Cricetulus griseus: one gene and its partners. The protein of the gene in region 2 interacts with the protein of the main gene of each other region in a pairwise test. Links are inferred from orthologs where the notes say so. Each region holds a gene or a part of one and is shown on either strand. Other genes may lie near its edges.

What was found.
Region 1: the proteins of Esr2 (region 2) and Ncoa6 interact in a two-hybrid assay, tested with the Homo sapiens proteins (3 studies listed by BioGRID). The link is inferred for Cricetulus griseus from reciprocal best matches to the Homo sapiens genes ESR2 and NCOA6.
Region 3: the proteins of Esr2 (region 2) and Src interact in a two-hybrid assay, tested with the Homo sapiens proteins (2 studies listed by BioGRID). The link is inferred for Cricetulus griseus from reciprocal best matches to the Homo sapiens genes ESR2 and SRC.

The regions. Positions count from the first base shown.
Region 1 is NC_048599.1:24,163,957-24,168,328, forward strand, and holds the start of Ncoa6 (nuclear receptor coactivator 6), read left to right. Parts: upstream 1-1,524; 5' UTR 1,525-1,710; intron 1,711-4,372. UniProt on the Homo sapiens protein: Nuclear receptor coactivator that directly binds nuclear receptors and stimulates the transcriptional activities in a hormone-dependent fashion. Coactivates expression in an agonist- and AF2-dependent manner.
Region 2 is NC_048598.1:127,334,604-127,338,256, forward strand, and holds part of Esr2 (estrogen receptor beta), read left to right. Parts: intron 1-2,736; coding exon 2,737-3,036; intron 3,037-3,653.
Region 3 is NC_048599.1:22,072,766-22,075,555, reverse strand, and holds part of Src (proto-oncogene tyrosine-protein kinase Src), read left to right. Parts: intron 1-211; coding exon 212-391; intron 392-1,283; coding exon 1,284-1,360; intron 1,361-2,160; coding exon 2,161-2,314; intron 2,315-2,421; coding exon 2,422-2,553; intron 2,554-2,790. UniProt on the Homo sapiens protein: Non-receptor protein tyrosine kinase which is activated following engagement of many different classes of cellular receptors including immune response receptors, integrins and other adhesion receptors, receptor protein tyrosine kinases, G protein-coupled receptors as well as cytokine receptors.

The DNA of each region.
Region 1 (4,372 bases), on a different chromosome or scaffold from region 2:
ACACACACACAGACACACACACACACATACACACACACACATGCTGGCAAAACACTCATATACCAAGTAAAATATCTTTAAAAATTTAATGTGTGTGTATGCCTGTACACATGTGTGTAGGCATATACATGCTAAGGGGCCAGAAGACAACTTGTGGGAGTCATTTCTTTCCTCCTGTCGTGTGAGCTTCTGAGGGAACTCAGCTTGTCAGCCTTGATAAACAAGTGCATTTATCTATTAACCAATCTTGCCTGCCTGGGTTTTTTTAATTAAAAAAAATGATTTTAGGGACTGGAGAGGTGACTCAGTAGTTAAGAGCACTGGCCACTCTTCCAGAGGACCCAGGGATTCCCAGAACCCAGATGACAGCTCACAACTCTCTGTAACTCCAATTCCAAGGGACCCAACACCTCTTCTGACCTCCACAGGCCTCAGGCACAAGTGTGTGGTGCACATATATACACGTGTGGAGAACATATGTACATATGTGCTACATACACACACACACACACACACACAGGCAAAAACACTCACATAAAAATAAATAGATCTTTAAAATAATTATTAATAGGTTTCATCATGAGATTTTCATACATGCGTATCACGCTTATAGTTACTTCGCATTACCTCTCCCATCCCTTCTGCCCTCAAATAGTTCTCACTCTGCAGCTTTTATCACACACACACACACACACACACACACACACACACACACCCCTAGATTCTGTCGAATCATTTTTAGTAAGAGAGTGGCACGCTCAGAATTCTGACGGAGGAATATTACTAGCAAGAAAAATAGTGGCGCACGCTGGCGGTGCTGGTAAGGGTGGTACCCATACCAGTCTATGTGCACAGTGTGCACTCAATAAATACCCGTGGAAAGAAAGCGTTTCAGAGTCCTCTCTTAGATGAGACACTATAACTGAGCCGTTAAGAATCCACCTGCCCCAACCGTCCTTACAGAGGAAGAAGCTGAGACACAGAGGTAAAGAAAATCATGAAGCTAAGGGGTGGGAACTGATTTAAGTGACTCTGGGCTCAGCCCAGTGCTAAGAACACTTCCCTGCTTTGGGAAGAGAGGAAGCCAGAGGCCCGCCTCCACCTGTTCACTCACCAGTTCTATTTTGTGAGCACCTACCGTGTTTGTTAGGGTGGTGGGACGAAGTGGGGGGGGGGGAGATAGAATAAAGGTTATCTTTATCGTCAGTCATTAGACGCTTTCCAAGCCTTTCCCTCATTTCCTCTGCGCAAGGAAATACTATCATCCCCATAGCTGGGGAGAGCACACTGAGGCGTGGAGCGTTACGCAGCACACACAGCCAGCCGCTGGGACAGCGCTGAACATGCACGCAGACCAAGATCGCACCCAGCACCTCGGCTCACATGCTCGCTAGCAATCGAGCTCGCGCGCTCCACCTTGCGCGCCAGGGGACGCCCGGTCACGTGGGCAGGGCCCCGCCCCTCGGGCCCGCCCCGCCCCGCCGCGCTCCCTCCCTCTCTCCTTCCTCCCTCCCTCCCCGGCCCGGTCCGGCCCATCCCCCCTCCCCACCGGCTCCCTGAGGCCTGCCGGGTCGGGCTGCGGCGGCCGGGCGCCGACGGCCGGACGGACGGGCGCACGCGAGGACCGGCGGACGGACGCGCCGAGGGCGCCGGGCACGCACGGCCCGGGCCGGCGCTGCGAGGCCCGCCCGGGGCCGGGGCCGCGCTCAGGTGAGGCGACGGCGACGCTGGCCCGTAAGGGGTGGGCCTGCTGAGCGTCCCGGGCCCGGCCCGGCAGGCTTCGTGGGGAGGAGGCCCGCCCGGGCCTGGCGCGCGAAGATGGCGCCGGGCGGCCGTGCAGCTCGGCCCGAGTGCGGCCCGGGCCCGCAGCCGCCCCACCCGCCGCCGCGCTCGTGTCCCCGTCGCCATGTTGGGGAGCGGGCCCGGGGCCTGCGGCGGGCGCGGCGGGAGCGGCGGCGGCGGTGGGGAGTGCGGGTCGGGGCCCGCGGAGTGCAGGCGGCCGGGGTTGCGCGGGCGGCGCTGCGGCCCAGGAGCCGGCTATACCGCGGGCGTGAGGTCCGGGCTGGGGGCGCGGAGAAAAAGACCCCGGGAGCGGACGGGACCGGGGTTGGGGGCGGGGCCGAGGGGGCGGCGGGCCGAGGGGGTGCCGGGCGGTGGAGTTGGGTTAGGCCGTGCGCTGTGAACCGAGCCCCAGAGCAGCAGCCAGGGGTAGGGGAGGCAGCTTGGGGGCCGAGTCCTGGCTGTCAGGGCTGGAGTTGTTCTTTGCGTGCGCTGGAGGAGATTGCTTAGGAATGGGGGTTGCGAACTCGGGGATCAGAGTGGGTCACCGACGCGGGAATCAGCCTGGAAGGGTCCTGGCACTGAATGGCCAGTCTTTATGACTCCCAAGGGTCTCGGGACCTGTGAGCCCTGAGGAGCCTCCAGTCCCGTTGGAGGCAGCAACAGGAAAAGGGAAGAGCTTGATGAGGAAAGAAAGGGTGCCAGGCAGGGGCTGGATGTAGGAGCTGGACAGCAAAAGGTACAGAGTGGAACTGGTAGGAAAGGAGAGAACCTCCATCAACTTAAGGAGTTGTCTTTAAAAGGAGGGACCCGGCTGTTTGGGGGCGGTGACCCAAAGTGTGTTTCCTGGAAGGGGACAGCCGCTGCTTAAAGAGCAGGGTCACCTGGGGAGGTCGTCTGAAAGGTCTTGTTGAAACTAGTCAGAATCGTGAAGAAGGAAAGGACATGTAATAACTACGGTGGCTTTACAGAGATCATGCCATGGTTTCAAATCAAGTAGTGATTTTAGCCAAGGTAATTGATTTCCTAAGATAGTTTGTGTCGGTGACAGAGGCTCCTGGATATGGACTAAGGCTTCCTCATTCAGTTGCTAAGTCAAACTCCATTAAATTATCAGAGTCATTAATTTTTGTTTTAACAAGTTTGTCAGTACAAAGCCTGAGTGGGATACAAAAATGTATAATCAATTATTGGATATTTCCTAGATCTCCATTGATACAAAAAAAAAAGCATCAAGAAAGAACCTCTTTCTAGAGTTTAAAAAAATGTTCCCCCTCGTCTGGATGTTTATTGCACAGCAAAAGAACACAAAAAGCTTAAAAGGGGAAAAAAGGATAATGATAGAGACCTAGGGTCCCCATCATATTCACTTTAATTGAATTTCTGTTATAAATAGGCAATTGAGAGTTCAAATGGACTATGAGATAAATCAGCCAGTGATATATAGTTGACTTTTAATGTCCCTGAGTTTTGCATCTACAGCTTCAACCAATCACCGATTAGAAACATTCATAAAACAAAAAATTGAAACTGTGCTAAACATACAGGGTTTTTTCCTTGTCACTGTTATTTTTTCTTGTTATTATTATTCCCTAAACTAGACAGCTTAACAACTGTTTACATGACATTTACATTTTATTGGCTATTACAGGTAGACAGGATACACAAATATTGTATCACTTTATATAATGATTTTGATATCCTAGGAGGTCCTAGAATCCATTGCCCATGGATATACCAAGGAATGACAGACAATACAAAACTCCACATAATTAAAAAACAAAACAAACTTAGAAGCCAGGCACGGTGGTTCACATCTATATCTCAACACATAGGAGACTGAGGCAGGAGAGTCTGGGCTATAGAGTAAAGGCCCTGCCTCCAGAGGAAAAAAAATAGACTTTCAGGTGTTGGCATTGTAGTTAAATGGTAGAGTGTTTGCCTAGCATACAACATAAGGGCCTTGGTTTTATTCCCAGCACAAAAGGGATGGAGTTTAATCAAAAGAATTTTATAAGGATTTTCAAAACCACATGTATATTCAGTACCAATTTTTCTGAGTCTTTCTAATGCAGAGATCTGATCTTATGTGTGCCATGGTCCCTGTAGCATGGATCTCTCAAAATAATATTTTTAATTGTATAAAGTAAATGACATTGATTACAAAGGAAACTAGTTACATTCAAATAGTTACTAAGTATAAAAATTGTTTATGCTGAAGTATCTGTACACCTATTTGTGAATGTGGTGGTAGGGATTGAACTCAGGGTCTTGCTCAATCTAGGTAAGCCTGCAATACTGAACTATTCCCCCCTTGCAGAGTGTGTGTGTGTGTGTGTGTGTGTGTGTGTGTGTGTGTGTGGAGGAGGTGGAGGAGTAGTACTTATCGAGTTTGTGCATATGCATGGGGAGACCAGAGGTTGACTTTGGTGTCTTCCTTGATTGTTTCTCTACCTTATTATTTTTTTACCTTGACATTTTATTTTCTGTAGTTATTTGTGTGTGGGGCCATGTGTGTGGAATCTGAGGACAACTTGTGGGGATCACTTCTCTTTTTCCACTTATGTGGGTATGCCAGAACTCAGGTCATCAG
Region 2 (3,653 bases):
GCAATGTTATACAAAGAGCCTTTATAAATTTTAGAAGAGAATTTCCAGCTTGTGCAGCTGTGGGTCCTGGCAGACCAAGACAGGTTTATTTGTATCTACCTCGCTTATTTAAATAATAACAAGACCACAGAGGAGGAGAGGCAGATTCCCATAAGCAAGGCTGTAGAAAACCCTACCGCTACTGAGATTCAGGATGTATGCTCAGCAGCTGGACTGAATGCTTTTCTGGAGACAAACAAAATGTACTCCAGAGAATGGAACCTTGATGTTCAGTACAGAAACAGAGTCTGGGTACAGCTCAGACAGGAAGATGGCAGCTTCTGTCCTGTACAGTTCCTGTTATGTAAGTCAGTGGTGTTGTATGTAGCAGAAATGGTACCCAAGCTAAAAACAAGGACACAAAAAAGGAGAGGAGAGTAAAAAAGGGAAAGGCAAGAAGAAGAAATGATGTGGTGTGAACATGAAGCACACAGTCCTACTGTGAGAGACATGGGGCATCTTTGTGTCCGAGGAAACAGCTTTTTGTTTGTGTATTTAACTGAACCGTGAACAAGTGTGTCTCCCATTTTCATCAACAGAGTTAACAATGAGATAAGTTTACATCAAAAGTTTGCATCTAGCTTTTATACTGTAAAAAGGAAATATGTGTGAAAGAAAGAAGAATATTTTTAACAGATAATGACTGTTCCATTAGTTACTTGAAATCCTGTATCTGTTTGTCCTCTATGTAAACATATATTTCAGGTAAATAAATTTAATAAGACTTGAAATACACATTTTTCCACCTTTTAAGTTAAATAAAAATTTAAACTGACAAAAATAATACATTTTAGAAGAGAAAAGCATAAAAATAAATAGACAAGTCGGGCAGTGTTGGAGCATCTTTAATCCCAGAACTGGGGAGGCAGAGACAGGCAGATCTCTGTGAGTTTGAGGCCAGCCTGGTCTACAAAGTGAATTCCAGGACAGCTAGGACTGCACAGAAAAACCCTGTCTTGAACCCCCACCTAAAAAGATAAGCAATGTACAAGGAAAGAAATACAAAGGGCAAACATTTTGTGAACATTACTAATAATTTTAAAAATGCAAAGTAAGAAAAGACTGTTTACCATTCCCAAAACCAACAAAGATTAAAAGTAACACTAAAGTCCAATATTATGGGAAAACAATTAATCCTTAAATTACTGTTTAGATTATGAATTTTTAAATATTTTGGAAGGTAATCTACCAATAACTATAAATTTTTTTAATGTATGTATTCCTTGTTTGAACAAGTTAACTTCTTTGAATTTATTATAAAGAAGTAATTGAATACACCAATAAGGCACATTTTTCACTGCAGTACTTAATAAAGAAATTATAATAACATAGCCTTATATCAGCATGGGACATTTTAGGTTCTGTTTTTTGAGGTATGGTCTCCTTTACTCTACAGTTCACGCTGGCCTGGAACTTACTATGTATAGTAAGTATCTCAAGTTGGCCTGGGATGTGTGGTGATCCTCTAGGCTCTTCCTGGGTTCCAGTGAAATAAGTGATGTTGTATTAATGGGATGGATGTGAACTTGGTTTATTGTTGTATGTTCATGTGTGTATGGGGTGTGTATGTGTTACAGCACACCATGGAGATCAGACAACTTTTGGGAATCAGTTGTCTCTTTCCATCCTGTTGAGGCAGTGTCTCTCTTGTTCTTTTTTGGCACTGTATTCTCGAGGCTAGCTGGACTGTGGGCTTCTGGGTAGTCTTTTGTCTCTGTCTTCTGTAGGAGTGCTGGGATTACAAATGTAATGTTGCCCCCCACCCCGCCGCCCCCCAGGACAGGTTCTCATTATGTAGGCTTGGCTGTCCTGGAACTTACTCTGTAGACCAGGCTGGCCACAAACTCACAGAGATGCACATAACTTCTGCCTTGCGAGTGCTGGAATCACAGGTATGGTCCACTACACCTGGCATATAAGGCTTTGTTTACTTGAATTCTGAGTGTTGAACTCAGGTCGTGAAGCTTGTATGGCTGATGCTGTTACTCACTGAGCTCTCTCCCCAGCACAAGTGACATATTTTCAATAAGATTAAGAGTAGTTTATGAAATTGCATATATGCTATGATTTGAATTTTGTTTATAAAATATAAAGAAGCATAAAAGAAAAGATAAATGAAATAATTTATGCCAAAATTAATTTTCTCTTGTATTTTCCAGGCCTTTTCAGTTAATTTATTTGAAATATATTTGTTTGTGTAAGTATATAAAAAGAAAAAAATACGTACCTGTATAGAAATGTTTTTGAAATGTCGTTAGCATGTATTATTTGCTAACTGGAAATAGCAATGTTAAACTCCTGATTTTTCTTTATTTTCTACTTGAGGAAAATGTCTAACTTCATATCTTTGAACCTGGGGTCTATCAGTGCACTTTAGAAGAGAAACAGATTCAGTAGCCAGTGATAACCTTGAAACGGAGTAGAAGTTCCCAAACACGTTATGTTGCTAATACACTCAGACAGTTGTTATCTTTTTCCATGGCCCACAGACTCCAAAATAAAAATTGGAATGATGTTGTCAACACAGTTTCTTACAGTGCTGGGACTGGGAGTCGAACTCAGGGCCTTGCACTTTCGAGTCGAGCACTTAACCTACTCACCTACACCCTCAGCCCCTTATCATTTTAGACTGGTCATTCTGTGAGCTGGAACCTTGGGCGGAGAAACCACTAGATTGTCATCTGCTCTCCTCTTTAGGATCCAGGAGAGAAAGGTGTGGGTACCGTATAGTACGAAGACAGAGAAGTTCCAGTGAGCAGATGCACTGCCTGAGCAAAGCCAAGAGAAACAGTGGGCATGTCCCCCGTGTGAAGGAGCTACTGCTGAGCACCCTGAGCCCAGAGCAGCTGGTGCTCACCCTCCTGGAGGCAGAGCCGCCCAATGTGCTAGTGAGCCGTCCCAGCATGCCCTTCACCGAGGCCTCCATGATGATGTCTCTCACTAAGCTGGCCGACAAGGAACTGGTACACATGATTGGCTGGGCCAAGAAAATCCCTGGTAGGACTCTCTACATCTTGACTTCATTCTGTCTATTTGTAACAAGGCCTGTCTCTCACATTCTGGGGGCTGTGAACTTCATCTGAATATGTAATTGTTATTCTTTTGTTTAAAAAGAAGAAAAGAGAAATATTGAGACAGACATATTGACTATAAGTTTATTATAAGGGCCGGTAGAATGGGGAGACTAAAAAGAGGAACAGGGGTAAATGGCTGACCGCCATGGCCGGTCGCCATAGAGAGAGAGCGGGGAAACAGAGAGAGGGGACAGAGAGCAGGAACAGGGGGAGAGAGAGACAGACAGACAGAGAGAGACAGAGAGAGTAAAGGGGCAGAGAGAGCGTAAATGTGCAGGGGCCTATCTTTTAAAGGGGTCCTCTGCACCTGCATGCAGACTTCTTTCCCATGGAACCTTGGGCTGACCAGGGTATTGCCTGAGTGGATTCCACCAGGTAACAGGGGCAGGCCAGCATAATGCCTGAACCTTTCATTCCCACCTCTACTTATTATTAAAAAAAGGTGGGGTGTTTAGACATGGCAGGTTAAGGAATAAGGGCGTCGAATTCTTAAGACTGCTTCCTGCTGACGTGGGGGCGTTGACCATCTTTGGGGGACCC
Region 3 (2,790 bases), on a different chromosome or scaffold from region 2:
GACACACATTTCACAGCCCTGGGGGCACTTTCCATTCCTTGAGTCCATTTTGTAAGTGGGAATACGGAGTCTCAGTAAGGTCCCTGGCCTTGCTTGAGCCCATTCCATGAGTTGGGGGGGGGAAGAGTTAAGATAAGACCCATGCAGGCTAGCCTGGCCCCAGTTCGACAGAATGGTGGCCTGTATTGAGGTTGCTGTCCCTCCCGCACAGGGACCTGGAATGGCACCACGAGGGTTGCCATCAAAACCCTGAAGCCGGGCACCATGTCTCCAGAGGCCTTCCTGCAGGAGGCCCAAGTCATGAAGAAACTGAGGCATGAGAAACTGGTGCAGCTGTATGCGGTGGTGTCGGAGGAACCCATTTACATCGTGACAGAGTACATGAGCAAGGGTAAGGCCTGTGCCTGGAGTGAGTTCCAATTAGGGGCCTGGGCAGGGCAGGCCACACTTCTTACCCTGAGCCAACCCCGATGAGTGGATGGTTACCTGAGGGACTGCCTCACTCCGTTCATAAATAATAACAAGAAATAATACTTTTTTAGAGGGTTATCCTTTTGTCCTTTAGCACTGTTACGATCTCTGTTGTCGCTGGGTGGTTTGGTGGCTCACACCACAATCCCAGTGCCCGGGCCTTGAAGCAGGAGGACCCTGAATCTGAGGCGAGGCTGGCTACATAGCAAGACTGTCTCAGCAAACAGCAGTGTGGGGTTGGGGATGTAGCTCAGTTGGCAGAGTGTCTAGCATGCCCAAGGCCCTGGATTTGGCCTTAGGTTTGATCCTCAGCACTTTGCCAATTAGGCATGATGACCTGTAACCCCAGCCCTGAGAGGGGAGGAGGAGGAAGATCGAGAGTTCAAGGTTAGCCTCCATTGCATAGTGAGTTGGTCTACTTGAGACACCGTCTCAGAACAAAACAAAAAAATGCATCCATAGCACCCACATTACTCCAAAGTTGCCTGCTGCCTTTAGAGATGGGACTCCCCAGCCCCAGGCAGCCACTGGCTGGCAGGCTTGGTCCAAATAAACATAATGTGTCTTGGGCTTTACACGTGGTCTTTTGCATGTAACATCCCCCCCACCCCACCCCACACACACACATCCCCCACTACAGGGCCCAGTAGGATTTCTTGGTCTAGCTCCCTGGAGTGTTTACCTTTGAGTGCCAAACACAGAATTGAAGCTTTTCTCCTTACTTGTTGAGCAGGTAGCCAGGGTCTGGAGCCACAGCTTCCTGCACAGGGAAACCCTGGCAGGGTTAGAGCTGGCTCTCTCTCTCTCTCCAGGTAGTCTGCTGGACTTTCTCAAGGGGGAAACCGGCAAATACCTGCGGCTACCGCAGCTGGTGGACATGGCTGCTCAGGTGAGTCTCTCAGCTTTTCTACAACACCTTGAGCTCTTGGGCTCAGCGCGCCCCCTCTAGGAGGCCTACTTTCATTACACCCAAATCTCACCTTGCCACTCAGTGGAGCCCTTGCTGGTGCCAGGGGTGGCAGTCCTGGACGATATACCATATCTGAGCATCAGAGATGGACATATACATAATTAAAATAAAATACTAAAAGTTTAACATTTATTATTTCCATTTGGTAGATGAGGAAACTAAGACTCAGAGGGAACGTGGGACAATAGACAGGACCAGCCATGTCCCTGTGTCCTTGAGTCATCTGGGACCTCTTTTTATACTCACCTGCTTCCTGGGCAGCATCTTGTTGTGACCTTCCCATTGCCCTTTGCCTGTCCCCCTCCCCCACTGAGCTCTGGTCTACCTTTTCTTTTTCTTTTTAAAAATTGTATTTATTTATGTATTTTTTTAGGTATGAATGCTCTGTCCACACATATGCCTACAGGACAGAAGAGGGCATCATATTCCATTATAGATGGTTGTGAGTCACCATGTGGTTGCTGGGACTTGAACTCAGGGACCTCTGGAAGAGCAGCCAGTGCCTTAACTACTGAGCCATCTCTTCAGCCGTGGTCTACTTTTTCAAACCAGTGATGTTTGTTATAAGCTGAATGAATTCCTTGCTTGAAAAGACATGGGATGGGAAAGGTGTTTTTGGCTGTCTCTCCATCCCAGGCAATGACCACCCCAGGACACCTGCTTACAACCCTGGGATGGGTGTGGGTTTGGCCGCTGAGCCAGGCTCTCTGTCTCTACAGATCGCCTCTGGTATGGCCTATGTGGAACGGATGAACTATGTGCACAGGGACCTCCGAGCTGCCAATATCCTGGTTGGGGAGAATCTGGTGTGTAAGGTGGCTGACTTTGGTCTGGCCCGGCTCATAGAAGACAACGAATACACAGCCCGGCAAGGTGGGAGCTCTGGGGATGGATCCGATGGTGTCAGTCCGCCAAGTGGAAACGAGGGTAATGCTCCTACGGCAGACTGGTAGTGACACCCTGTGCTTTCTTGCCTTTAGGTGCCAAATTCCCCATCAAGTGGACTGCTCCCGAAGCTGCTCTGTACGGCAGGTTCACTATCAAGTCAGATGTGTGGTCCTTTGGGATCCTGCTGACCGAGCTCACCACGAAGGGACGGGTGCCCTATCCTGGTGAGGAGGCTACACCTGTGACCCTGACCTTGGTCCTAGGGGCAAGTCTCACCCCCAGTCCCCCACACACACATACATACCACCTCTGGGCTTCCTCTTTCCTAGGCTGGATACTAAAGAGGCTGGTTTCTGGTCTCGGGCTGCCTCTGGTCAGTGCTGTTAGCCTCAGAGACAGGGTTTTATCCACCATAGACTGAAAGCTGTCTAGGCTGCATCAGTCTCTTGAGCCATCTCCTC